4 linked regions of the Anolis sagrei genome follow. The protein of the gene in region 3 purifies or fractionates together with the protein of the main gene of each other region. This does not show direct contact. Links are inferred from orthologs where the notes say so. Each region holds a gene or a part of one and is shown on either strand. Other genes may lie near its edges.

The links.
Region 1: the proteins of CBX1 (region 3) and ADNP2 purify together in Homo sapiens (affinity purification with mass spectrometry; 5 studies listed by BioGRID and IntAct, with this or other methods). This does not show direct contact. The link is inferred for Anolis sagrei from reciprocal best matches to the Homo sapiens genes CBX1 and ADNP2.
Region 2: the proteins of CBX1 (region 3) and PRR14 purify together in Homo sapiens (affinity purification with mass spectrometry; 3 studies listed by BioGRID and IntAct, counting the BioPlex papers as one, with this or other methods). This does not show direct contact. The link is inferred for Anolis sagrei from reciprocal best matches to the Homo sapiens genes CBX1 and PRR14.
Region 4: the proteins of CBX1 (region 3) and SUV39H1 purify together in Homo sapiens (affinity purification with mass spectrometry; 3 studies listed by BioGRID and IntAct, with this or other methods). This does not show direct contact. The link is inferred for Anolis sagrei from reciprocal best matches to the Homo sapiens genes CBX1 and SUV39H1.

Annotation. Positions count from the first base shown.
Region 1 is NC_090024.1:76,607,736-76,614,595, reverse strand, and holds the start of ADNP2 (activity-dependent neuroprotector homeobox protein 2), read right to left. Parts: upstream 3,003-6,860; 5' UTR 2,874-3,002; intron 1-2,873. UniProt on the Homo sapiens protein: May be involved in transcriptional regulation. May play a role in neuronal function; perhaps involved in protection of brain tissues from oxidative stress. May be involved in erythroid differentiation.
Region 2 is NC_090026.1:16,092,808-16,099,829, reverse strand, and holds the start of PRR14 (proline-rich protein 14), read left to right. Parts: upstream 1-3,999; 5' UTR 4,000-4,194; intron 4,195-7,022. UniProt on the Homo sapiens protein: Functions in tethering peripheral heterochromatin to the nuclear lamina during interphase, possibly through the interaction with heterochromatin protein CBX5/HP1 alpha. Might play a role in reattaching heterochromatin to the nuclear lamina at mitotic exit.
Region 3 is NC_090026.1:33,852,220-33,859,295, reverse strand, and holds the start of CBX1 (chromobox protein homolog 1), read right to left. Parts: upstream 3,025-7,076; 5' UTR 2,757-3,024; intron 1-2,756. UniProt on the Homo sapiens protein: Component of heterochromatin. Recognizes and binds histone H3 tails methylated at 'Lys-9', leading to epigenetic repression. Interaction with lamin B receptor (LBR) can contribute to the association of the heterochromatin with the inner nuclear membrane.
Region 4 is NC_090022.1:194,074,769-194,082,717, reverse strand, and holds the start of SUV39H1 (histone-lysine N-methyltransferase SUV39H1), read right to left. Parts: upstream 3,001-7,949; 5' UTR 2,914-3,000; coding exon 2,895-2,913; intron 1-2,894. UniProt on the Homo sapiens protein: Histone methyltransferase that specifically trimethylates 'Lys-9' of histone H3 using monomethylated H3 'Lys-9' as substrate. Also weakly methylates histone H1 (in vitro).

The sequences.
Region 1 (6,860 bases), on a different chromosome or scaffold from region 3:
CTTTCCTTCCTTCCTTCTCTTCCTCTTCCTTTCCTTCCTCCCCTTGTCTTTCCCTTCCTTTTTCTCCCCTTTCTTCCTTTTCTACCTATTCTTAGACTGCAATTCCCAACAGTCCTCCTGATCAATCTACCTACCTACCTATTTATCTCTATCTAATCTATCTATCTTATCTGGAGGATTGCTGGGAAATGCAGTCCAGGAATAGGAAATTGGAAATATGTAGGGATTGGGATGCAGTCCAGAGAAATCCAAGGAGGAGAAAGCTTGCATCTTGGAAGCAGTGCATTTGGATCACCCTCCTCTCCTAAAGGGCCTGGTCTAGGGGATGCTGGGAGTTGTAATCTGAAAGAGTGTGTGGATATGCTCTTGTGTGTTTTGTTTGTGCGTTATAGTGTCTTTTTGCCTTTTTGGATTTTTAAGTCCATTCTGTTGCGTTTTTCAGTGTTTTTATGAGTGATGGTCACTTGTTGGCCTAATAGGTGTATTGTGTCCAAATTTTGTGTCAATTCGTCCAGTGGTTTTTGAGTTATGTTAATCCCACAAACGAACATTACATTTTTATTTATATAGATTAAATTCAACGATTAAGGGCATCAATTCCTGCGGAGTTTTCCCATTTGTAGATGATGCCATGGAAACGCAGAGAAAACCTGCCACATGTGAACACAGGTTTAACAGTCCCATTATGATAGATTCGCAGTTGAACGAAATATACAAATAATAATAAACTTAATTTCTAGACCGCCCTCTCTCCCCTGAGGGACTCAGGGCGGTTTACCTATAAAAAGACAAACATTCAATGCTTCAAAATGGATACAAACACATCAAAATAACACAGGATAATGTATAGTAAACTTACAACGAAAGACTTAAGCATCAAAATAAAATAAAAAAGGATCAAAATATAATAAAAAAGGGACAATCCATTAAAATACAAAAACTAAAACTTAAGCAAACATTGAGTACACCCTAAAAGCAAGTTAAGAGACATTACATTAAAAATGTCATAACTGCCATAAAATACATGCCAGCATTTAAAGTGTCCGAGTGTCCTAAGCTGTTTTTATAATACTGAATTCTAACACTATGTAACAAAATTTGAAAAATAATTCTGTTCCTGTTTTGAAAGTGTTACATCCTATTTGATTGTGTGGTACTCACTTTGAAAGTTGTTGTTACGCTCCAGAAACCTGGTGTTTGTGGCTGCCACAAAACATGTTGAATTGGTTGAGGCTTGATGTGATAGTCATTGAAAAACCATCGCAAAATGCGCTGCAAGATGTCTTGCCAAAGCAAACTCTTTGTAGTTTCATTGTTGCATATTTTTCATGTTGAGAAACTGCAAGTCACTTCTGGTGTGAGAGAATTAGCCATCTGCAAGGACGTTGCCCTGGATGTTTGATGTTTTACCATCCTTGTGGGAGGCTCCTCTCATGTTTTTATTATTATTAACTTGCCATCCCCTGCCACACGTTGTTGTGGTCCAGTCTGTATATATGTGTTTTGTGTGTGTATATATGTGTGCATATATTTGTGTATATGTGTCTTTGCGTATATATATGTGGTTTTGCACATGAGTTGTAATGTATTTTTTTTTTGGCTTTTTAAGTCCCTTCTGTTGTGTTTTTCAGTGTTTTTATGAGCGATGGTCACTCATTGGCCTGATAGGTGTATTGTGTCCAAATTTGGTGTCAATTCGTCCAGTGGTTTTTGAGTTATGTTAATCCTACAAACTAGCATTACATTGTATTGTCGAAGGCTTTCATGGCTGGAATCACTAGGTTCTTGTGGGTTTTTTCGGGCTATAGGGCCATGTTCTAGAGGCATTTCTCCTGACGTTTCGCCTGCAACTATGGCACTACCTCACTACCTCTGAGGATGCTTGCCATAGTTGCAGGCGAAACGTCAGGAGAAATGCCTCTAGAACATGGCCCTATAGCCCGAAAAAACCCACAAGAACCTAGCATTACATTTTTATTTATATAGATATCATTAATTGTTGCATTAATGATTTTTAAACAATTGAATTGCTGTGGTGCCTTTTACATATTTTATTAAGTATGCATGTATTTATTTGTTGGCTTTGAATACTTGCCTTTTATGACGTTAGCCCAGGAATGGGCAAACTTCGGCCCTTGGGGTGTTTGGGACTTCAACTCCCACTATTCCTAACAGAATTGGCCCCTTTACTTTTCCCCCTCAGCACCTTGAGCTTTGAGTAACTCAACCATAGAATAAGTGTTGGAAGTGACCACATGGGCCATCTAGTCCAACCTCATTCTGCCATGCAGGAAAAGCACAATCAAAGTATCCCTGACAGATGGCCATCCAGTTTGTGTTTAAAAGTTTCCATGGGAGGAGTATCCACAACCATTTTCCAACCTGAACCTGTTCCAAAAGTCCCAATTTTAGCATTCCATTTTTTCCCCGCCCCATTGTGCGGCTTCTCCCGCCCTAGTGTCGGAGGCTTTGGAGAAATTCTGAAATGAGTGAGGAAAATTAGGGCTTAGACCAGACCTGGGCAAACTTCAGCCCACTCTGGACTTCTACCCCCACAATTCCTAACAGCCTCACGCCTAAGGGGGGTTAGGAATTGTGGGAGTTGTAGTCCAAAACACCTGGAGAGAGGAGGGGCTGAAGTTAGTCCATGCCTGGCTTGGACCCAGCTAGCTGCCTTCCCGCGCTTGGCGCGCTCTCCAAAGAGAAAGCAAAGGGAAAAAAGATGGGAGGAGGCGCCCGCGAGGCTGGACTCCGCCCAGAAGCAGCGCGCGGGGAGAAAGGGCGAGGGGCGCGCGCTCTCACCTTCCCTCCTGCCCTCCTTCCCTGGCTCGGCTGTAGCGCCTGGTGGCTTCAGATTGGGGACTTGCACTTACCTGCCCCGGCCGCAGGGGGCGCGCGCACTCTCCCGCGCTCTTCTCTGGCGCCGCCCTCAGGGACGCGCGCGCCTGGTTGCTGCTGCTGCAGCTGCCGCCTTGTCTTCTTCCTCCTCCTCCTCCTCCTCTTCCTCCTCCTGTCTTCCTCCTCCTCGCTCAGAGGCCGGCCCGACTCCACCTCTGCACCCTGCAGGCCCGGCGCTCAGGCCTCAAAGCCCCGAGCATCCCTGCCCGTCCCTGCAGCGCTGGCCCTTGCTCTCGCCCCGCGAAAGCCGACCGCACAAGCCCTGCTCCCTGCTCCTCCCTCCTTCCTTCCTTCCAGTGAGAAAGAGAAAATGGCGCTCGATTTGTCCCAGGAAGTGACGTCCCGCCTCATTTGCATCTCAGCCAGTCCACCAATGAGGAGAGGCTCGGTCCAGGGCTCCCATTGGTTCCCTCCATCAGCACTAACTCTTCAGGGTGGCTGAGGTTCCCAATGCAGCCGCTGGGGAGCGCTCTAGCTGAGCCTGGGGGGCCTCCCCTCCACTCACCCTCACCTGGGCCACTCACCTGTCCTCCCCTGGGGCATGGGCACCTCTCCCACCAAGCCAAAGTGGCAACTTCCACGTGATTTTGGGTTGTGACGTCACTGCAGAGGGGTGGGGCCTTGCTTGCATCATCCCATGTGATGCAGTCATGTGGCCATGCATCTCTCTGGCTGGTTTGCATATAAGGTTGAGGGTGCCTTGTTTGCATCATCAGCAGGCTTCTTGAAACCCCCCTTTACCTCCAACAACCAATGGGACCCATCCAAATGGAGTCTGCCATTGGAAGAAGGAGCCCTCAAGTCATCTAAGAAAGGCTGTTGCAAAGTTGGCATCAAACCTGGAAGGCTCTTCTTTGGGTCAACCATTCTTTCCATCTCTAGAAGGTCAAGTTTGTCTTCAAAGAGTAAAAAAAGAAAGTGAAATGGTTGGTTCCTATCATTTGAGGTCTTCAAATCATTCGGAAGCGCTTTCAAATTGGGTTCCTCCAGGGGGGAGCAGGGGCTCGTGTGGGTTCCTACTCCATTTGTCCCACAGTGGTGTGACACGGAACCAAACTTATACATCTAGCCAGGCAGCGGTTCTCAACCTGTGGGTCCCCAGATGTTTTTGGCCTTCAACTCCCAGAAATCCTAACAGCTGGCAAACTGGCTGGGATTTCTGGGAGTTGTAGGCCAAAAATATCTGGGGACCCCAGGTTGAGAACCACTGAGCTAGAGGAAAGCAGGACCTAAGTAGGAAACTGATGTTCCTAAAGAACAATCCAAAATCTAAATGTTTTCTTTAAAATATATATCAACTCAATTTGGATATAACCGCCAGTGTCGTTTCTGGTCCCAAAGCAAATATCAAAATGGAGAGGCCATTGTGATGTTCCTTCAAGTTGACTTTGACTTAATTGTGGCGCTCTTTGAAGAGTTTCTTGGCAAGACTAATTCAAGGGAGATTTGCTATTAAATTTCTGAGAGAATACGAATCCCTCAAGGTCACCTAGTTGTCCATTCCTGAACCCTAGTTTCTTGGGAGTTTGCTTGGCAATGGAAGATTTTAATGGAGTCCCCTTCTCTGAAGATGTTTAAACAGAAGCTGGATGGTCATTTGCCTTGAGTGCTTTGATGGCCTGTTCCTGCATGGCACAGGCTTGAACTGGATAGCCCTTGTACTTTCTTCCAACTCTATGCTTCTGTGGGTACTACTCCAACTTTCAAATTACTGTATCGTATTAGCTTTCAAAATTCTTGTCTTCCCAGTGTCTCATGATGTACTAGCACAGTGGTTCTCAACCTGTGGGTCCCCAGATGTTTTGGCCTTCAACTCCCAGAAATCCTAACAGCTAGTAAACTGACTGGGAGTTCTGGGAGTTGTAGGCCAAAGCACCTGGGGCCCACAGGTTGAGAACAATTGTCACAATAGCAAGAAATAAACCATCAAGTGACATCATGATTAGTAGATGTGTTAATAGATGCTGTGTGCAGTTTGGAACATGGAGACATGGACTGTTTAGTTAGAGTAGGGCATGGGAATACTTCGGCCCTCCAAGTGTTTTGGACTTCAACTCCCGCAATTCCTAACAACTGGTAAGCTGTTAGGAATTGTGGAAGTTGAAGTCCAAAACACCTGTAGGGCTGAAGTTTGCCCATGCCTGAGTTAGAGCAGTACACGTGTCCTTTCTCATGTTGTTTTCCATTAGTATCGTTCATGCACTTGTTATTGAGGAAATGCAAGATCTGACCATGATACAAGGTACCGTGAGCACTTGGTATTCACTAGCAGGTTAGTTCCAAGACCCTCCCTGGATACCAAAAGTCCATAAAATGGCCATAACATACAATGGCAAAGTAAGTAATTTCCCCTTCATATCAAATGGAGAACAATTCTAATGAGTGCTGAAGAGAGGCTGAGGATCTGTGAAATGTCAAGACGCTACAGCATGGAATGCCTACATATCACTGTAGTCTTCAAGGTTTTTGGCATGTTCTTCTACATGTCTTGAGTTGTGTTTGGTTGAGTCCATAGATGCCAAACCCATGGATATGGAAAGCTGAGTAACATTATGTCTGATTGTTGCTGCCATTGAGAAGAGGGCAGCTTTAATAAGGAACAAACATCTGGGGTTGATTCTGAGAGCCTTGATGAAAGGAACAAGCATCAAGAGCATTACAAAAGGTTCAAATCAAGACTATTCTTTGTTAACCATCTTTCCTTATAGAGAGCCTATGGATTCTCCTGCACTTCTAGCATTCATTGCCAGTGATTAAAAGCTGGAAATGAAGAGGTTAAAAGCATAATTGTCACCTATATAAATAAATTACTTCACAAATATACCAAGGGTATAATGAACTCACATTTCAGATCAACATAACAAATTATGGTAATTGTTTTTTAGCTAGAGGGTGTGATGTGTAACATTTTCCAATTATATTTAAATGGAATGTTAGAATCATTGTAGTTTAATTTCTCAGGTCTGATGCCATTTTCTTTTCAATCCTATGATTAATATGTTTTAAGCAACGGAAAAGCAACAAGTTACGTTTTTATTAACTGCTGTCAAGTCAACTTCAACCTCTAGGGACCTTATGAATGAGAGAAGTCTGAGGGCCTTTCTACACTGACATGTAATCCAGAGTATCAAATGATGTAATCTTTCTGCTTTGAACTGAATTATCTGAGTCTATACTGCCATACGATCCAATTCAAAGCAGATAATCTGGATTTTATGCAGCTGGGCAGAGAGGACCAAAGTCACTCTACCTTCCAACAGCCCTGCTCAGGTCTTGCAGACTCAGAGCCGTGACTTCCTTGATTGAATCAATTTATTTGGAATGCAGGCTTTCTCTTTTCCTATTGCCTTCTATCTTACCAAGCATCATTGTCTTATCGCATAAGTCATGTCTTCTCTTAGCATGTCTAAAGTATGACAGCCTTAGTTTATTCATCGTTTCATCTAGGGAAAGTCCCAACCTCATTTGCTCAAGGATCCATTCATTTCTCTTTTTTATTGTCCACAGTATCTGCAGAATCCTTCTCCAGAACCACATCATCATCATCATCATCATCCAATTACTTATTAATTGCCCTCCATCCGAGAATGCTCTAGAAGATTTACAGCTAAATTGTAAAAGATAAAATACATACATACAAAAATTAAAAGGGATCAAATGCTCTAGTAAAAAGCCAGGTCTTAAGTGCATGAGTAAAAGGCCCTAAGTCACGCATGGCTCTCATGTGGGGTGGCAAGGAATTCCATAAGGCAGGGGCAGAAATAGAAAAAGCCCTGCATCTGATCCTTTCCAAGTGCACTTCTCTAGGACCCGGTATATAGAGTAAGTCGCGTTGGGCTGGTTGTTGCGACCTCCGATGATGGGAGAAGGAGAGGCGGTCCCTAAGGTACGATGGACCCTGGCCGTAAAGAATTTTAAAGGTCAGAACTAACATCTTATACAGACCTCGGTACTCAGTTGGA
Region 2 (7,022 bases), about 18 Mb from region 3:
GCTCTCGCTCCATGTATTGCTGGAGTCTTCCTTGCAGGATCTTGAGCATTACTTTACTGGCATGAGAAATAAGGGCCACTGTACGGAAGTTTGAGCACTGTATGGAAGTTTGTACGGAACTTGGCCTAGGCCTACCTTATCATAAGGCATGTCCTTTAGGCCTTTCCTGATCTGGCAGGATATCTTAACAAGGCCCTGAAATGACCATCATTGTGTAAAAGGTTCTTCACAGGTAATGGGTCCTGAATCATTTCTCCCTCTTTTAAGCCAGTTCTTTTCAGCCACAAAGGACAATAGTTTCCACACTTGGCAGAAGTTTCTTTCATTTTTCTCCTTTCTTTCTTCTTATTCCCTTTGTCATCAAGAGGCTTTCCACTGTGAATGAGCAAAAATCAATCAATCTATCTATTAGGTTCTTGTGGGTTTTTCGGGCTATAGGGCCATGTTCTAGAGGCATTTCTCCTGACGTTTCGCCTGCATCTATGGCAAGCATCCTCAGAGGTAGTGAGGTCTGTTGGAATTAGGACAATGGGTTTTTATATCTGTGGAATGGCTGGGGTGGGGCAAAGAGCTCTTCCTTGCTGGAGCTAGGTGTGAATGTTTCAACTGACCACCTTCATTAGCATTTGAAGGCCTGGCTGAGCCTGGGAAAATCCCCTGTTGAACCAAACTGTGAACCTGAGTCCCATCATCGTCGTCAGAAACATCCTCTGATTCCAGCTGTGTAACAACACACATGGACAAAAAAATCTCTCATAAAATGACATTATGTGAGACAATGCAACTAATCACATGATTGTAAATACGTTCTGAATTATGAAGAATAAACTACTTGTTATTTACTGATCCTCTGTGTGACATATTTTCTTTCTCTGGCAAAACAGTGTGTGGACTGATCAAACGTGAACTACAAGGTTTATTTTCCATTATGCCACATTGAGCCCCGGTGGCACAATGGGTTAAATCCTTGTGCTGGCAGGACTGCTGCCCGAAAGGTCGTCAGTTTGGATCTGGGGAGAGCTCCCATCTGTCAGCTCCAGCTTCTCATGTGGGGACATGAGAGAATCCTCTCACAGGATGGTAAAACATCTGGGTGTCCTCTGGGCAAGGCCTTTGCAGACGGTCAATTCTCTCACACCAGAAGCAACTTGCAGTTTCTCAAATCACTCTGAAACCAAAAAATGGCCATGTAGGAATTAACAAGTCCAAGGAAAGCATACAGGTGGGCTCAGGAGCTGGGGAAGAGCCCCCTTTGAATTGTTTTCTATTCATTTTTCAAGGAAAATACTAGGCTGGGGTTTAGGATCTTTGAAGTATTTCCTGTGGAGCCCTTTCCTGAGGCAATTCCCTTTTCCCCCAAAGGAATATGTTAATGTTTCTGGTGTGTGCAGTCAGTCAACCTTCTGTGACAGGGTCAATGAAAATAGGGTAAAGTGCGGAATACTGCCTGCTTGGTATTGCAAAGTTGTAAAAAAATTTTAACAAAAATTCATGTTTAATCATACTGAGGTCGCGTTGGTAGGTCTGATTTCTCGACAACATAGGTAAGGATGAGGGAGCGGTTGAGAGGGTATCTACACCGTGGAATTCGTGCAGTTTGACACCACTTTAAAATGCCATGTGGCTATCGAATCATGTGATTTGTGGTTTCATGAAGCACCACACTTTAACGAAGTCATAAAAACTACAGCTCTCATTATTCCATTACACTGAGCCCTAGCAGTTAAAGTGGTGTCAAACAGCATCAATTCTACAGTGTAGATGTACCAAGGACCTAGAAAATGTCAAGATTGGTTGAATAATGTAATGCAATATAATACTACTTATAATAATAATATATCATAATATATTATTATTATTATTAATATTAATAAACCTTTATTTATACTCCGCTACCATCTCCCGGAGGGCTCGGTGCGGCTTACAAGAGGCCGAGCCCGAATACAAATAAGTAAAAACATCACAGCAAGTAATATTACATGTAATATTACTAATAATTAGTAATATTACATGTAATATTACTAATAATACTACAATATGGTATAGTACAATATAGTAATACTAATATTGTACTATATTAATCTATACAAATAAAAATGCAATGTTCATTTGTGGGATTAACATAACTCAAAAACCACTGGACAAATTTACACCAAATTTGGACACAATACACATATCAGGCTAATGAGTGACCATCACTCATAAAAACAGAAAAGAAGGGACTTTAAAAGCCAAAAAACAAAAAGTACGTTACAACTCATGAGCAAAACCACACACACACACACACACACACATATACACGCAAACACACATATACACAAATATATGCACACATATATATATACACACAAAACACAGACTGGGCCACAACAACGTGTGGCAGGTATTATTGTTATTATTATTATTAACTTTATTTGTACCCCACTAGCATCTCCCGAAGGACTCGATGCGGCTTACAAAGGTCAAGGCCTCAATAAAACAATAACATAACAATACAGCATTATAAAGCAAATCAAAACATTAAGCAATAACAGTAAACAATAGAAACAGTACACCGTGACACAATAAAACTAGGGTCTGGTTGAATAATGGGTACAGATTAAAAGTGCTGAGTATGACAGGTGGAATATAGGATTTTAGGGTAAGTGCAATGTGCAGACAATCTTAATTCTCTGATAAAGTGCTTCTGGGACATATTGTGCTTCTGGGACAGTTTCCTATTCTGGAAAGGCACACCGGAACAGCCAGGTCTTCAAACTGGTAGTTTGTGGGACTAACATAACTCAAAAACCACTGGACAAATTGACACCAAATTTGGACACAATATACATATCAGGCTAACGAGTGACCATCACTCATAAAAACACAGCAGAAAAGACTTAAAATGCCAAAAAAACAAAAAATACATTACAACGCATGGGCAAAAACATAATATATGTTTATATATCTTGTAAGCCGCTCTGAGTCCCCTTTATTTATTTACATTTCGTAAATAAATAAATAAATTTCAGTTTTTTCCTCCATTTCGTGTGAAAGATTCAATACAAGTCTACATTGGGGTCAAGTTTTAATTCTGAAAGCAATGAATGTCCAATACAGCAAGGAGAAAATTCCAATACAGCCAAAAGGCCTCTCTGAGAGCCCTTCCACACTGGCATATAATCCAGGTTATCAAAGCAGATAATCCACATTACCTGCTTTATTTATTATTTTATTTATTTACGGCATTTATATGCCGCCCTTCTCACCCCGAAGGGGACTCAGAGCGGCTTACAATATATATTTTCATACAATATATTATATTATTAGCATAGTACAATATCAGTATATATTACTATATTGCACTATACCATTATATTGTAATATTATATGTAATGTAAATATATAATTATAATATTGAACTATTATTACTAGTATTATATTGTATTACATTATAATATAATATGTATATACAATATACTATATTATATTATTAGTAAAGACAAGGTGGAACTGGATTATATGAGTCTACACTGCCAAATAATCCATTCTAAAGCAGTGTAAAGGGAGCCTAAAAGAAGGAATCAAAGCTGCATTGCCAGCCTTGCGTCCATCATAATTTAAAGCCTGCCCCTTTAAATACCCCACTTCTGGTCCTCGCTTCAAATGGCGGCCTCCTAAACGGCGCCACCAAAAAAATCTGCCCTCACTCAAAATGGCTGCCGCCCTCGACGCCTTCCTTGTTTTCCTCTCTCTTTCTCTCCCTCGCTCCGCTTTTATTTTCCCCCTTCAGTTTTGCCCTGAGCCAAAATGGCAGCTTTCCCAACGTCACCGGCGCCTTCGCCCTTAACAAAGAAGGCGGCCGCAAGACGCGACTCTTTTCCAACGCTACACAAGCCCGCGAGCCGCCTTTGCCCTTCACTGTGATGGCGGCGGTTTGGCCACGCTACCTCGAGGTAAATCCTGCACACTGATTGGCTGGGAGGGAAAACAAGCCGCGCTACCATTGGCTGGTATGGAACACGAAAGGGAAAAGGGTAGCGTCGAGGTGTGAGTAAGAGAAGGGCAAGGAGGGAGGAGGAAGAGGGAGTTAGTTGGTGAGTTGGAGGGAGGGAAGGAAGGAAGGAAGGAAGGAGGAAAGAGGAGGAGGGGGGCTGTTTTTCAAACTGAGTTTAACTGATTCGAGAAAGGAGCCCAAGGAAGTGGGCAAAGAAGGTGAGATTTCATGGAATTGATATGAAATTGGGGTTTTGTTTTGGGGTTTTTTGGGGGGGGGAAGAGATGGAGAAGATGGCAGAGGGAGTCTTGGAAGTGGGACTTGAGGCCACAAATTGGAAGAGAGCATGGAGATCCTGAGGCACCAGAAGTTACTTGAAGGGAAAGTTACTTGGTTTTTAGCTCTTGAACCAGGTTCAGGGCATCCTTATGGGGTTCACTTCCAAAAGGAGTTAACTTTGAAAGTTTTTTTATTGTATTATATTTTTATATTTATTATATATTTTTAATTTTTTATATTTATATTTATTATATATTTTTAATTTTTATATTTATTATATTTATTATATATTTTTAATTTTTATATTTATATTTATTAATATTCATTATATATTTATATTATATATATATATATATATATATATATATATATATATATATATTTAAAGTGGTGGTAGAGGCATGGGCCAACTTGGCCCCCCCCCCAGGTGTTTTGGACTCCCAACTCCCACCAGGGACAGGGCCTTCTCGGTGGTGGCCCCTCGACTCTGGAACTCACTCCCCAAGGACATCAGGCATGCCCCAACGTTGGCAGTCTTTAGAAGGAGCTTGAAAACATGGTTGTTCCAGTGTGCCATCCCAATTATACTTATTAATATTCATTATATATTTATATTTATTATATATATATTTAAAGTGGTGGTAGACGCATGGGCCAACTTGGGCCCCCCAGATGTTTTGGACTCCAACTCCCACCAGGGACAGGGCCTTCTTGGTGGTGGCCCCTCAACTCTGGAACTCACTCCCCAAGGACATCAGGCATGCCCCAACGTTGGCAGTCTTTAGAAGGAGCTTGAAAACGTGGCTGTTCCAGTGTGCCTTTCCAGAATAAGGAAACTCCAAGCAATATGTCCCAAATGAGAGAGGAGATATGATAGCCAGGTATAAATATGTGAGAGGAAGGCACAAGGAGGAGGGAGCAAGCTTGTTTTCTGCTTCCCTGGAGACTAGGACGGCGGAACAATGGCTTCAAACTACAAGAGAGGAGATTCCATCTGAACATGAGGAAGAACTTCCTGACTGTGAGAACCGTTCAGCAGTGGAACTCTCTGCCCCGGAGTGTGGTGGAGGCTTCTTCTTTGGAAGCTTTTAAACAGAGGCTGGATGGCCATCTGTCAGGGGTGATTTGAATGCAACATTCCTGCTTCTTGGCAGGGGGTTGGACTGGATGGCCCATGGGGTCTCTTCCAACTCTTTGATTCTATGATTCTATGAAATGCACTTTACTAGAGATCTAGAATTGCCTGCAAGCCCCACCTATCCCTAAAATATCTATCTTATTTCACCTGATCATGCCCAGCACTTTTAAAGATTTTAAGTATTACATTTGGCCCTGCCACAGGTTATTGTTAATGTTTTTTGCTTTGTTTATGAGTTTTTATTATTATTATTCTATTGTTGTTGTTGTGTTTTACTGTTGTATTTGGGCTCAGCCTCTTGTAAGCCGCACCAAGTCCTTCGGGAGATGATAGCGGGGTATAAATAAAGGTTTATTATTATTATTATTATTATTATTTCCTTTCCCCCCTCATCTTAAGCTCTTCTTACAATGCCTTTAGGTTAGGTATGGGCCAACTTGGGTCCTCCAGGTGTTTTGGACTCCAACTCCCACCATTCCTAACAGCCTCAGGCCCTTTCCTTTCCCCCCTCAGCTGCTTAAGTGGCTGAGGGGGAAAAGGAAGGGGCCTGAGGCTGTTAGGAATGGTGGGAGTTGGAGTCCAAAACACCTGGAGGGCCAAAGTTGGCCCATGCCTGTGGTCGTGTTTAGTTGTGGCTTTTAGGGTTTCTCTCAATAGAATAATTACACTTTGGCACTGCTTTAACTGCCACGGTTCAGTACCATGCAGTTCTGGGATTTGTAGTTCGGCGAGGCCCCAGTGAAGAAGGAGAAAGTCCTTGGAAAATCACAACCATTGACCCTTGCCAAAGTAGGGTCAAACTGTAGTTATTCTACATTGTTAGACTGACCTAGAGAGATGTTTATGTGAGAGATGTTTATGTTATTTATATTAATTGTTTTGTATTGATTTTTTGTTATTGCTTCTGTTTACTGATGTACTGTGGGCTTGGGCACATGTAAGCCGCACAGAGTCCCTTGGGGAGATGGTAGCGGGGTATAAATAAAGTATTATTATTATTATTATTATTATTATTATTATGTTGACAAGCTGGAATGTGTCCAGAAGAAGGCGACTAAAATGATCAAAGGTCTGGAGAACAAGCCCAATGAGGAGCGGCTTAAAGAGCTGGGCATGTTTAGCCTGAAGAAAAGAAAGCTGAGAGGAGACACAATGAGGGCCATGTATAAATATGTGAGGGGAAGTCATAGGGAGGGGGGAAGCAAGCTTGCTTTCTGCTGCCCTGGAGACTAGGATGTGGCACAATGGCTTCAAACTACACGAAAGGAGATTCTCCCTGACCTTTAGGAAAAACTTCATAACTGCAAGAGAGAGCACTGTTCGGCAATAGAACTCTCTGCCCCCAAAGTGTGGTGGAGGCTTCTTCTTTGGAGTATTTTAAACAGAGACTAGATGGCCATCTGTCGGGGGTGCTTTGAATGCGATTTTCCTGCTTCTTGGCAGAATGGGGTTGGACTGCATGGCTCATGAGGTCTCTTCCACCTCATTGATTCTATGATTCTATGTGATTATTAACTTCACTTGTCTACTTTAATTAGAACTAACTGTTGGGATTCTGGCCTCTGTCTAACCCAGGCATGGGCCACATTCCCCGAGGCAGTGTTTCTCAAACTGTGCTCCTCTAGGTTT
Region 3 (7,076 bases):
CACGATACACTGTGGGAGAACCACCTCACACTATCATGGCACTTCACTTTTATTAGCTCTGTACTGGAGCAACATCCATACAACAAGCTCATCTCTCCTAATGCTCTTATTTCATTCTACCTTAAGAAAAACATTGTACACAGGGACTCTATTGCACACTTTAAAACATAATCGTAGCCTCACTCTTAAAAACATTACAGCACGTTCATCATCCCATTCCTTAACTTCGAAACAATGTCCTCTATCAAATATTAGGTGCAATACTCTGCCAACATCCCTCTCCAAATATGTATTAGGGGACACAATCCATAATCTTTGTATTTTATACAATTTAGAAAAAGAAAACTTGCTACATTTTATATATGTGGAGTTTGTTTCCAAAAGGTACCAAATCCATTTTAAAATGAATTTTAAGTGTCAGCACATTGCTGTATATGAGTAAAGATCAAAACTATCAAAATGTTAGTAAATCACTTGGGCTCTGGGCTTGGAAAATTGCATTTAACATCAAAAGAATGCATATCCTCTGCTTTTTTCCTTCAATTTCTATAAATCTTATTCAGATTGACTTACATGTAAACCTGCCTCCTGGTAACAATTCTCCACTATATTTAATGAGCACCCCTAAATTCCAGAATACATTAAAATTTAAAAACTGCCCACATACTATACATAAACACATGTGCATCCACCCCCTTGTAACAATATCAACGTAGTTCATCCCTTATCTGGAATTCTAAAATACTGTACACTAGAATCTAAAGTTGTCCACATGGCTAGCTGAGATAGTGAAATCTTTGCTTTCTGGTGATTCAATACAATAAAACTTTGTTTTGTTTTAAAATAATATAAAATCATCTTCAGCCTCTGAGCACATTTGGGCCCCATCTTCAAGATACAACTCAATGTAAAAGGTGGGCCAAAAATCACAAAGGTGTTTGATGTTTTAGTAACTTTTTGAGAAGACTTTATGTGTAATGTAATGTCCTCTATACAGGCAGACCATGAATTACAAACATCCAACTTACAAACGACTCCTAGTTAAGAACGAGGAAGTGAGAGAAATCTATCTCTATGATGGGAAATTCATTCCTGGAAGAGTTATGGTGGAAAGGTGTCTTCCCTGAACCTTTCTCACCAATCCTTTTATCCACAACAAGCCAAATTTTTCAAAACCCAATGACCAGAGACAGGAAGTGAGGCGAACAAGGGCACAGAAAGCAAAACACCACACAGGGTTGTTGTAGGATTTTTCAGGCTATATGGCCATGTTCTAGAGGCATTCTCTCCTGACGTTTTGCCTGCATCTATGGCAAGCATCCTCAGAGGTAGTAAGGTCTGTTGGAACTAGGAAAAAGAGTTGATATATCTGTGGAATTGCTAGGGTAACAACTACCATGTCAGACTACACAGAGAAGCCATTGAAATCCACAAGCATGTGGATAATTTCAACAGAAAGGAGGAAACCATGAAAATAAACAAAATATGGCTACCAGTATTAAAAAACTCTAAAATTACAACAGCACAACAGAGAGGAAACAAACAAGGACATCTAATTACCTCTCAACAAAAGATTGCCCCAGGCATTGCCAGGCCATCAAATGCTAATCAAGGTGGTCAGTTGAAACATTCACACCTAGCTCCAGCAGACAAGAATTATTTGTCCCACCCTGGTCATTCCCTTGGCAAGGTCAAGATGACAAACATTCGCTCACTTCATATAATTGTTAACTTCTACTTATTATTTCCAGATGACATGTTCCATTGGTACTTAACTTCTTTGATCTCTTAATGATTTATATATTTATCCTAACTCACGAGGCCTCTAGCCTGCTATGTTTAATCTAAAGTCAACATTTACTTTTCCAATTATTTATGGAACAAGCCACTCCGATCTTTTATTGTTCTATTGAATTTCCCTTGCTGTAGAAATCTCTCGTCAGCATTTAAGGTAAGGCTTTTTTCTGTTCATCTTAAATGCATTTTTATAATTATAATTATATTTTCTCCTAATGGCTGCCACAATTCAACTTGAGAATAAACTTATAGAACATATCTTGTTTGTAACTTGGGGGTGGCCTGCATTTATTATTATTATTGCTGTTTATTTCTACCTGCTTTTTCTCGCCACGGGCAAAGAGGGCCGAAGTTTGCCCATGCCTGCTCTACTATATATGATGCTACTGTATTGTAAATGAAAAACAACAAAAGTTAAAGAAGTTATGACACACCGAAACTCCTTTGGGACTTTGGCAAGTACTCCAAAACGCCAAACACTTCAGGCAAGGAATATTCAGCCTGATAAAAACGCCTTTTCCTACACAAAACCACACACACGCCACTTTCTCTTCACACGGGCATCACTTGCAAGCATATTTCTTCCCCTCAGATGTCTTTCCCGTGCAGCTTCTATTGTTGAGCTCCCCACCATCACACATTCACTCAAACACAATACAAAGAAGCACAAACAAAAACAGTTCACACAGGGCTGGAAACCCAGCATACTTCTCATCCGTTTCGTGAACATATTTCCCACCACTCTTTACTGTCTCCTCTCTGAGAAAAGGGTCGCTATATGGCTCCTTTCCCCGCCCCAGAAAAGCTGCCTCAGGAACCCACGCAGGGGGCTCGAGTGTTTCTCCTTCCCGCGTTTTCGCGCCCCTTCCTCCCCCCTTGGGCCCACCCCCAATATGGCCGCCCAGGCCTGAGGTGCCTCAGACGCCCCCTCCCCATCTCTCCTCACTCGGCCTCTTTACCTGAGGAAGCCCCACCAAGGAAGCGCGCGGCGAGCGGCTTCCAAACGACCACCCCAGTCGGCGCCGCCACCACCACGAAGCGGCTGCAGGCCGAGCCGAGAGCGCGCGCGGAGCGGAAACCCCTCGGACTTCAGGAACGGACGGCAAAAGAGAGAGGCCAAGAGAGCGAGCGGCGGTTCGCGCTCGATCCGCCTCCGCCAAACAAAAGAGTCCTTGCAACCCCTCTACCCGCCGAGGCGCACGGCGCATGCGCTAGCCAACTTCCGACACCCCCCTCCCTCTTCTCCCTCCCGCCCTGACACTCGCCACTCGCCCGCGGCATTCTGGGACCGGATGTGATCGCCCACCCCTTTTCCTTCGCCCCATAGATTTTTAATGAAAGACAATCCACCCACAGTTAGAGCGTCTGTTTCCGGGTTTCTTTGGGTCCTTTTCTCAATTATTAAAAACTAGCCATCTCCTGCCACGCGTTGCTGTGGCGTTACTGTGGCCCAGTCTGTGTATATGTGTGGTGTGTGTATATTTCTGTACATGTGTATATATGTGTGTTTTTAAAGTCTCATCTGCTGTGTTTTCCAGTGTTTTTATGGGTGAAACCTGAGAGGTGTTTTGTGTCCAAATTTGGTCTCAATTCGTCCAGTGGTTTTTGAGTTGTGTTCATCCCACAAACTAACATTACACTTTTATTTATATAGGTAAAGGTAAAGGTAGTCCCCTGACATTAAGTCCAGTCATGTCTGACTCTGGGGTGTGGTGCTCATCTCCATTTCTAAGCCGAAGAGCCAGCGTTGTCCGTAGACACCTCCAAGGTCATGTGGCCGGCATGACTGCATGGAGCGCCGTTACCTTCCCGCTGGAGCGGTACCTATTGATCTACTCACATTTGCATGTTTTCGAACAGCTAGGTTGGCACAAGCTAGGGCTGACAGCGGAAGCTCACACCGCTCCGCGGAATCGAACCTGCAACCTTTCGGTCAACAAGCTCAGCAGCTCAGTGCTTTAACCCACTGCGCCACCAGGGGCTCCTTTATTTATATTTGTTGCTGTTGTTCATTCGTTCAGTCGTCTCCGACTCTTCGTGACCTCTAGATTCTATTATTCTATTATTATTATTTTATTATTGTATTACTTATATTATATATTTATTATTATATTATTCTATGTTATTATTATGATATTTCTATGACCCTCTGCGCAAGCTCAGGAACAGTAGCCTAGCTTTTCAGTGCTGGATTTCTAATTATTATTATTATTATTAATGTATTTTTTTGTCTTTTTACGTCCCTTCTGCTGTGTTTTCCAGAATTTTTATGAGTGATGGTCACTCATTGGCCTGGGAGGTGTCTTGTGTCCAAATTTGGTGTCAATTTGCCCAGTGGTTTTTGAGTTCTGTTAATCCCACAAACAAACATTACATTTTTATTTATATAGATGTATTTTCTTTGGGCCCTTCCACACAGCCCTATATCCCAGAATATCAAAGCAGAAAATCCCACATTATCTGAACCCAGTTCAAAGCAGATATTGTGGGATTTTCTGTCTTAATATTCTGAGATATAGGGCTGTGTGGAAGGGCCCTGAATTCATGCTGCCATATATTCCACTTCAAAGCAGATAATGTGGGATTTTATTCAGCTGTGTGGTAGGGCCCTCAAATAAAAATTTATGAGATTGATTGAACTAAGGAGAGTCAAATTTATGCTAAATTTCCATGGTACGCTAAGAGCCCTTCCACGCAGCCCTATATCCCATAATATCAAGGCAGAAAATCCCACATTATCTGAGTGTGGACTCAGATAACCCAGTTCAAAGCAGATATTGTGGGATTTTTTGCTTTGATATTGTGATTTATATGGCTGTGTGGAAGAGCCCTCAGTTATATGAGTCCACAGTGTCATATAATCGAGTTCAAAGCAGATAATATGTGGAAGGCACCTAGGTAAAAATTTATTCTATCCTACTCTATCTCCCCTTTGGGACTCAGGGCGTCTCACAGCATAAAAGGCAAACATTCATTGCCATAAAATAATAATAATAATAATAATAATAATAATAATACTTGCTTTGTACTTCTCAAAGCACAGCAGACAAATAATCAGTACAAGAAAACTGCCCTTAAACCAGAGCTGACGGCACAACAAAGTATTGCATGGGCAATTCCTTGACAAAATTGAAGGAAACATTCACACGGGGAAGACCTGGTTATAGCTCACTAATGGAACACTGAAAAAGGAGACAGAAGTCCTGATTCTTGCAGCCCAGGAGCAAGCCATCAGAACAAATGCAATTAAGACCAGGATTGAAAAATCAGCTGATGTACCAACATGCAGACTGTGCACGGAAGCTGATGAAACCATTGATCATATCCTGAGCTGCTGCAAGAAAATTGCACAGACAGACTACAAATAGAGGCACAACTCTGTGGCCCAAATGATTCATTGGAACTTAGGCCACAAGTACCACTTGCCAGCAGTAAATAATTGGTGCAGGCCCGTAGCCAGGATTTCGTTTCGGGGGGGGGGGGGGGGGGCTAAAAATTTTTCAGGGGGGTTTCGGGGGGGGGGGGCTGAGTTTCGGGGGGGGGGGGACTGAGTCTGAGTGAAAGAGGGTCTAGCCTAGCAAACCTTTTGTATCATTACCCCAATACCCCCATACATATGGGATATATTGAGAATGGTGATCAAATCATGATATTAATAAACATAACAGTTTAAATACTGCACCAGTAAGGCCTTTTCGCGAACCACCATGAGAATTTGGGGGGGGGGGGGGGGCTACATGCCTGAATTGGTGGATCGTAAACCTGCAAAGGTAGTGGAAAATGAACACGCAAAAATACTATGGGACTTTTGAATCCAGACTGACAAAGTGCTGGAACACAATACACCAGACATCACGATTGTGGAAAATAAAAAAAAGTTTATTGATGTCGCCATTCCAGGTGATACCTGAATTCACAAAAAAACAACAGGAGAAAACTCAGCTGTCATCAGGATCTCAAAATCGAATTGCAAAGGCTCTGGCATAAACCAGTACAGGTGGTCCCAGTGGTAATTGGCACACTGGGTGCTGTGCCAAAAGATCTCAGCCTGCATTTGGAAACAATAAACATTGACAAAATCATGATCTATCAACTGCAAAATGCCACCTTACTTGGATCTGCGTGCATCATTCGAAAATACACCACACAGTTCTAGACGCTTTGGAAGTGCTCGACTTGTGATTTTGTGATACGAAATCCAGCATATATATCTCGTTTGCTGTGACATACTGTGTTTTTATGTCAGTAAAATAAAAATAAATACTACAATAAATTAAAAAAACTAATAGACAATACAGCACATTCAACAATAATACAAATCACAAGAGAAACCATAATAACAAATTAAAAACAATATTGATAAAAATTATTATTATTATTACATACATTTCTACCCTGCCCTTCTCCTCCCAAAGGGGGACTCAGGGCAGCCTCATTGTTGCAGCAGACAGCAGCCTGTCTGTTGGGATGCAAATGGGGTGGAAGAATGACACCAGGCTAGAGCAGAGTTCCAAGTTCAAAACTTTTTACTTTTCCATGGAAAAGGGTGGGAAACCTCAGCCCGCAGCTGAAACAAGGGGTTTCCACACACCTTGATTTAAACAGAGCACATATTTATATACAATTGCTTATATAACTTGTTGACATTAATTAATTATTAATGCATAGGAAAACATCTTAATCATCTGGAAAGTCAGCGTGTTCGGGTCATATCTCCTGTGACCTTGTGCTGGTCAGCAGATCTGACATATACAGGCAGTTCAAACAGGGAAAAATCAATATATATTTTATACAATATATATATCAATATATACCTCACTACCGCTGAGGATGCTTGCCATAGATGCAGGCAAAACGTCAGGAGAGAATGCCTCTAGAACATGGCCATATAGCCTGAAAATACCTACAACAACCCAATATATACTTTTCTGTTGACTTTTGTACCAAAAAGGAAAAATCAATATATATATATTTAAAACTGCCCCCACATCACATAAGCATCGTGTGATGCTGTCAACATATAAGCAACAAGGGTTACAATGAAAACAGTAAAAAATCATTAAAACATGTTATACAGGTACATTACCAAGTTCATTAAACAAAAAGCTAAGATGCCAGTTAAAACCAAGACCAAGTTGGGTAAATCCAGTCGCATATGTCCTAACTTTCCTTCCAATTGTCGCTATCCACTGGACGAACGCCTGGTCCCAAAGCCAAGTCTTCAATTGTCTTCTAAAGGACAGGAGGGAGGTGGCCATCCTGATGTGCTTAGGGAGGGA
Region 4 (7,949 bases), on a different chromosome or scaffold from region 3:
ACAAGGATGGTAAAACATCAAACATCCCGGCGTCCCCTGGGCAACATCCTTAAGGATGGCCAATTATCTCACACAAGAAGTGACTTGCAGTTTCTCAAGTCACTCCTGACACAAAAATAAAATATATATATAATGAAATTATGTGTACCACAGCTGGAAAACCTAGCAAAGCCTTTAGGAAATTTGTTTCAAACAGTTTGCCTTTCACCTGCAAAATCTTCATTCTTTTCAAGCCAATAAAGTTGAAAACACTCGGCTGAAGATCAGCACTAAATACGATCTGGGTGAAAGGTTAGGTATCATTGTGATTTGGCATCACCACAACATTATCCACTCCAGATATTTGTGATCATGGTGACTTTAAAATATTATATGCAAGTAATTAATTTTTGAAGAATGTGTCTTGTTGTGGTTACAAGGATTGGTGAGGAAGCTTCAGTTGAGACACCTTTGTCCTCATGATAACTCTTTCGGGATGCAGTTTCCCTTCTGAGGCCCCTTCCACACAGCTGAATAAAATCCTACATTATCTGCTTTGAACTGGAATATATGGCAGTGTGGACTCAGATAATACAGGTCAAAGCAGATATTGTGGGATTTTCTGCCTTGATATTTTGAGTTATATGCCTGTGTGGAAGGGCCTTGGGGGTTGATTTCTGTCACTTCATGTTGTCTCAGCCCCATTCTTAACTATGAGTGGTTTGTAAATTGGGGACTGCCGGTGATGCCAATTCCCTTCTTTACTCTTTGAAAGAGGAATCAAGATTTCTGGTGGTTCTTCAAGATCCACCAGTGTGGTTGTCTATGGTCAGCATTAATAAATGATGGAAGATCCACCATGGTCAATTGGCTCAAACAAAGAACTGGTCAATGGCAATGTCTACTAGGGGCCTCATCACACTAGTGAATGAATCCACTTTAAATCCAGTTTCTGCCTCCTGCAGAATTCTTGGGTTTGTAGTTTAGTGAGGCTGTTAAAGTTTCCTCCCTAAACTACAAACCCCAGAATTCTGCTGGAGGCAGAAAACAGATTCAAAGTGGATTCATTCTCTAGTGTGATGTAGTAGTTCTATTCCACTCCTGTTGCTGAATCCCGGGAAATAATTATAATGCTAAAAATGTTTTTAGATTGCAAACCTGGAAACAGGAGCAATCTTCCCTCCTTCAAAGTTTTATATGCTATTATTGTTGCAGACTTGTGCCCCTTCCACACAGCTGAATAAAATTTCACATTATCTGCTTTGAACTGGAATATATGGCAGTGTGGGCTCAGATAATCCAGTTCAAAGCAGATTTTCAGCCTTGATATTCTGGGTTATATGGCTGTGTGGAAGGGCCCTGAGTCCAAACAGACATATAACCCAGTCCAAACAGATGTGGGATTTTATACAGATATGTAGAAGGGCCCTTGGACGTAGAAGAGTGGGTCAAACAAAATTTTGTGTCCCCCCCCCCCCCCCCGCCCCGACTCTGGAACTCTCTACCTAAAGATATCAGGCAAGCCCCCACTTTGGCTATCTTTAGGAGGAGCTTGAAAACATGGCTTCCCTGATTAAAGGAAATAATGCCCTATCTGACCAATTTCCTTCTATATGTCCCCTGAAGCACTTTATCCATTGGATTGATCCCCCCATATCACACTTTAAAAACCCCATGCCTAGACATACCCTACTCTGTACACGCCCATGGTTTTAAACTTTTAATCTACATCTGGCCCTGCCATTAAATCTTTTGCATGTTATTGCTTTGCTTATATGTTCAACTGTATTATTTATATTGTTTTATTTGCTTGCTTGTTTGTCGATGTATTGTTGTATTTGTATTTGACAGGCTTGGCCTCATGTAAGCCACGCCGAGTCCCTTCGGGGAGATGGTGGCGGGGTATAAATAAAGTTGTTGTTATTATTATTATGTACCTCAGCAAAATCATTGTGAGGCGAGTTTCACGTCAGAAGGTTGTCCTGAAGAGTTCCACGAGTTCTCCTACTCTCTGAGGATAGTAAGGGGTTGTTGTAGGTTTTTCGGGCTATATAACCATGTTCTAGAAGCATTCTCTCCTGACATTTCTCTTGCATCTATGGCAAGAATCCTCAAAACCTCTGAGGATGCTTGCCATAGATTCAGGCGAAACGTCAGGAGAGAATGCTTCTAGAACATGGTCATATAGCCCGAAAGACCTACAACAACCCAGTAATTCCAGCCACGAAAGCCTTCGACAATACAGAGTAAGGGCCCTTCCACACAGCCCTATATCCATGGCAGAAAATCCCACATTATCTGCGTTGAACTGGAATATATGGCAGTGTGGACTCAGATAACCCAGTTCAATGCAGATATTGTGGGATTTTCTGCCTGGATATTCTGGAGTATAGGGCTGTGTGGAAGTACCCTAAGGGATAGACGCACATGGTGGAAAGCACGCCAGAGGGGGAAAGATGAGGAGGGCGGAAATGTGAAGAGGGCACAAAAAGGGTCTCCAGGAGCGTCGTGTCTGCTGAGGAGAGGCATAGAGTCGAACAGGGAGGCACATGAACTGCCTCTGTGAGGAACTTGGAACAACATTGGATCCTCTGAGCGGGAAACGCAGCCAAGGTGGCCCCGCTCAAAGGTTGCCCGTTCCCCTTGCCCTCTCCTCAGGGTTCCCTATCCCTATCCGCTTTCCGCCTTTCCTTTTTCCCGCTCTCTGCCACGTCCTGCGCCGCCTCACTCCCTCCCTCGCGCGCTCCCCGCCCCGTAACGGTCGCCGCCGAACCTCCGCCTCGCGCCGCTCTCAGACCGCAGCGCTCATTGGCTCTCGGCTTCCACCCGCCGAACCCCAGGTTCCCAAACGAGGGGTCTCGCGCAAAGCTAGCCCGGCCCGGCGCGCGCGCGCGGCGGCGGCGGTTTCCACTCACCTTTTAAATTTTCCGCCATCTTGCGCCTCTTTTTTTCCCCCCTCCCCTTCCAGTCACTGAGGCCGCCAGAAACTTTTCATCCCACTGGAGGAAGAGAGGCGAGTTGGGGGCGGGGCCAGAGAGGGAGGCGGGAGCAGTGGCGCTGTCTGATTGGCTGCCCTTCAGCCTCAGCCCCGCCGCCCGCCCAATAGGAAGTCAAGGAGCGTTTCTCGTCCTTCTCGTCCCTAACTAGATTTATATTGCTGGGCAGCACCTTCCTGCCACTGGGCGTGAAGGGGAATTGGGAGTCCCTGAGAGCTCTTTTTCTTTTCAGTTTTTACACGCGCAAACATTTAATATATAAAGTGTTGGTGTGTATGTATGTGTGAGTGTGTGTGTGTGTTCTGTCGCAACTGGACCTGAAATGAAGTGCCTTTAAGAGAGGATGTATGGCTTGGATCCAGTGGGAAGCCAGGGCCCCCGAAAAGAAGCCTTTAGAGAAATTTCCCTTATTAAACAGTCTTTATGAGGCTTGAGCTTAAATATAACAGTCTTTTATTGATGAACAAACAAGAATTGTAAAGTTTTCTAAACAGTCTCTTAGCTCTTGCAATCTTGTTCACAGGGAACAGGCACTATCTTCAAAAACCTTGTTCAAAGGAAAATTCCCCTTTCTAGCTCCTCCCAGGCTGCTGTGAACCTAAACCTAACTGATTTGAATCCACTACCGGCTGAACTGCGTCTCAGAACCAAGTAGACGTACCAACAGGCCTGTAATCACTTAGCTCAGTGGTTCTCAACCTGGGGTCCCCAGATGTTTTGGACTTCAACTCCCAGAAATCCTAACAGCTGGTAAACTGGCTGGGATTCCTGGGAGTTGTAGGCCAAAACACCTGGGGACCCACAGGTTGAGAACCACTGACTTAGCTGCTTTGATGGTTAGAGCTGTAATTCCCTCCGGAATTCCTCAGGGCTGTAAGGCTGTTTCCCCGGAACCTTTGGGAATCTTTAGAGGCTCTCAAGACTGTTCTCCCCCAGACTAAGCCTTTGCACAGGAGGACGTCTGTATACATCCTCTGCATTGACTTCCTTTGCTGAGACTAACTGAAAGATGGCCCCTTCCCTCCAAAAAACCCAGAGAGGGGCGGGACCAGGGATCCTAACTATAATTGACAGGTGGCTTGCCCTATGAATGCAGCCAAAGGAAGCCACCTATATACAAAGTCCCTGCAACTTAGGACTATGAACTCAGTGCAAAACACAAAATTGGAGCCACTGGAACAGGCGCTCCAGGACAGTGCATATATATATATATATATATATATACACACACACACACACACACACACACACTAGCTGTCCCCTGCCACGCGTTGCTGTGGCTTGGTCTGTGTAGATGTATTTTGTGTCTATATATATTTGTGTATATATGTGTGATATTGCGTTTTGGTTTTTTGTTTTGTTTTTTGTTTGGCTTTTAAAGTCCCTTCTGCTGTGTTTTTCATTGTGTCCAAGTTTGGTGTCAATTCATCCAGTGGTTTTTCAGATATATATATATATATATATATATATATATATATATATATATGGTAAAGGTTGTCCCTTGATATGAAGTCCAGTCATGTCTGACTCTGGGATGTGGTGCTCATCTCAATTTCTAAGCCAAAGAGCCAGCGTTGTCCATAGACAACTCCAAGGTCATGTGGCCAGCATGACTGCCTGGAGCGCTGTTACCTTTCTGCTGGAGCAGTACCTATTGATCTACTCGCATTTCCATGTTTTTGAATTGCTAAGTTGGCAGAAGTTGGGTCTGACAGCAGTTGTTCCTGTGACCTTTCGGTCAACAAGCTCAGCAGCTCAGTGCTTTAATCCACTGCGCCACCAGGGGCTCCATATATATATAGACACATCCAAGGTCATGTGGCTCCATTTATATATATATATATATATATATAGGAACCCCCCCCCCCGATGGTGCAGTGAGTTAAAGCACTGAGCTGCTGATCTTGTTGACCGAAAGGTCGCAGGTTCGAATTCGGGGAGCGGTGTGAGCTTCCGCTGTCAGACCCAGCTTCTGCCAACCTAGCAGTTCGAAAACATGCAAATGCGAGTAGATCAATAGGTACCGCTCCAGCAGAAAGGTAATGGCGCTCCATGTAGTCATGCCGACCACATGATCTTGGAGGTGTCTACGGACAGCGCCGGCTCTTCGGCTTAGAAATGGAGATGAGCACCAACCCCCAGAGTTGGACTCGACTGGACTTAATGTCAGGGGAAAACCTTTACCTTTATTCTGTGCCTCAGCAAAGACATTCAGTGCAGCGAGTTTCAGCTCAGAAAGTCATCCTGAAGTAATCCACTTGTTATTTAGTGTCAGAAGCGACTTGAGAAACTGCAAGTCTCTTCTGATGTGAAAGAATTGGCTGTCAGCAGAGACGTTGCCCAGAGGACGGCCAGATGTTTTGATGTTTTACCATCCTTGTGGGAGGCTTCTCTCATGTCTCCGCATGGGGAGCTGGAGCTGACAGAGAGAGCTCATCCATGCTCTTCTTGGATTCTGCCCACTGCTGGCCATAGTAACACCTGCGTGGGGCCATAGCAACACCTCTTCGGCCCCGCTGCCTTACAACTCCTGGGCAGAGTGCCTCCATGTGATGTCGAACCTGAATTTAAGGGGTCCTGCTGAGGCAAGGACCAGCCAGACCCACCAAAGAGGATCTGGACACCTGGCGAGACAAGAGCACCCAAAAGAAATTTTTCCCTATTTTTCCAAATCTCACTAAGTTGAAGAAGAAGCCACTGAGATGTTTATTTCATTCCAGCTGGAACAGATATCAAACCGCAATCTTTTGCTCAGAAGCTGACATGAGCCACAAGGCAAAATAACACAGTTTTTATAGGAAATACAGAGCTGTCAAGTTCAAAGTTCTTGCTCCCGCTCCCCTAGCTGGCTTTTCGCTGATTGGTTGGAGTCCTCCGCTGGCTGGGAGGCATGGCCAGCTCAGCTGCGCCTTGCCCAATCAGAGAGCCAGCGTCGCTCTGGCCTCTCAGCCAATGGGAAGAGAGGAGGCGGGTCAAGCGGGAAACAATGAATGGAGAGAAAAAATTATAGGATTAAAATGACGAATATTTGTCTGATCGGTCAGCAATAGTTTAAGCCCTCGAACTGGCCAGGATTATTGTTGAAGTCCTTTGAAAATAACATATTCGCCTACCTCAGGGGCTAGGTTCTTTGTAGCTCAGGGACTAGGTTCTTAACTGATTTATTACATTCAACCAAAAAGTAGTAGAAGAAGGAAGTGCCTGAGAATGCTGTGTTGTGTAAGGAATAATTTATGTAAACCAAACATGTTCTTTCAGCAACCACTAGCAAGGGAGGCTCTTGCAGACAAACAAGGCTCCAAGACTCAGAACTATGCCACCAGAATTACTTAATGATCTACATCCAAATGCTATGGCTGTTTTTTCAGAAGTCTAAATTCAGTGAGAACACACAAAATTGCAACCACAACGGCTTATGAAGCAATACCGTTCAACTTCCCCATTATCTCGTTAGACAATTTTGAAATTTACTGACTTCTCCCAGATTAGCTTCACACAAAAATATAGAATATGAAAGTTGTAAGTGTTGGGGTTCAGCCTGAGTTTGAACTTGAACCTAATTCTCTGTTTGTTCCTCCTGATGCTAATGAAAGTATATTTACTGATGCTAGTGGAAATGTACCTTTTGATGCCAATGCTCCTGAAATTAGTGAGGAAGAAACTGCTGTAGGTTTGGAAAATGAAAGTACCAGTGTTCCTGAGAATGTTTCAGAGGGAGACCTTGAACTTTCCCTCCCTTCTGCACCTGTTAACTGTAATGACAACAGAAGGGGCCAAATTTGGGGAGACAGAAGTAAAACACTCAGTTTGCGTCGATCCTCCCGAATTCAAGAATTAAAAACATTGGCTTCAAAACAGAAGGGCGGTTCACGGAACCAATTCTTGAGTTTTAATTGCCATACGCCAGGCTAATTGCCTCAGTTCAGGCATCGTTTCAGAATTGATGAAGACCTTGGCAGTTCTCCCGGTTCCCTGGTCATAGTTTGGGAAGATTTCTAGGATATCAAGTACGGTTAGTGGATTGCTAACAGATTCCAGTATTTTCCCAGTGAGGCTTTTGGTTTTGCTTTGTCCATTTAAATTCATGTTTGCTGATTTTACTGTGGCTTTTGACTTGCATTTTTCCTTTATTTTGTAACCATTTTTCTTCAATAAAAAAGGATTGTTTTTCACAGCCAAGTGTGGTGGATATCTTAGGGCCTCGTTCCCTGCTCTGGATTGCAACAGTAAGTTGCCGCAAGAGTTGTCTCCATCGCCTTGCTAGCACTGGAATCTACAGTGAAAGCATCACATTGACATGCAACCACCGGGCTCTTGTTTAAAGACTTTCAACGAAGGAGAATTTACCACTTTCCAAGGGAGCCCAATGTCTCACAGCTGTATTATTACAAACTTCTTATCTGGAATCTCCTTACCTATAATTTGAAACCAGTGGTTTGGCTCCTCATCTCAGGAGCAGCACAATACTGTACAAAGGATAATTCCTTCACATTCAAACATGTCACAGTCCCTCAAATATTTGTAAATTGCTTTCATATCAGCTTGCATTTTTCTCTTTTTCCGGGCTAAATCTGATTGCTAGAATATATTTTTAACACAGAACAGCCTCTGCATTAAATGTTTTTACTGGTGACTTGTCATCTATGGATGTATCTACAATGCAGTTTGACACTGATGCTGAAAGCTTGAGGTTTTCCAAGAACCTATGGATACTGAGCACCTCTAACTGTTAATATTCCATGACAGAAATCAGGATGTCACCAGAGTGAAGTTTTATTCAATCTGCAGAAGGGATACTTGTACAACAGCGGGTGTTCAAAGGGTACATGCGTAAAGCACAAGGAAAAAGCAGGCATCTTTATACATAAGAGTTTCCATGCATTAACATTGCTACTGTTCTAAATTTCCTCCCATTCTCCTGATTGGCCAGAACCAGAAAGCCAGCCAGTATTTCCCAGGCCTTTGATTGGTCAA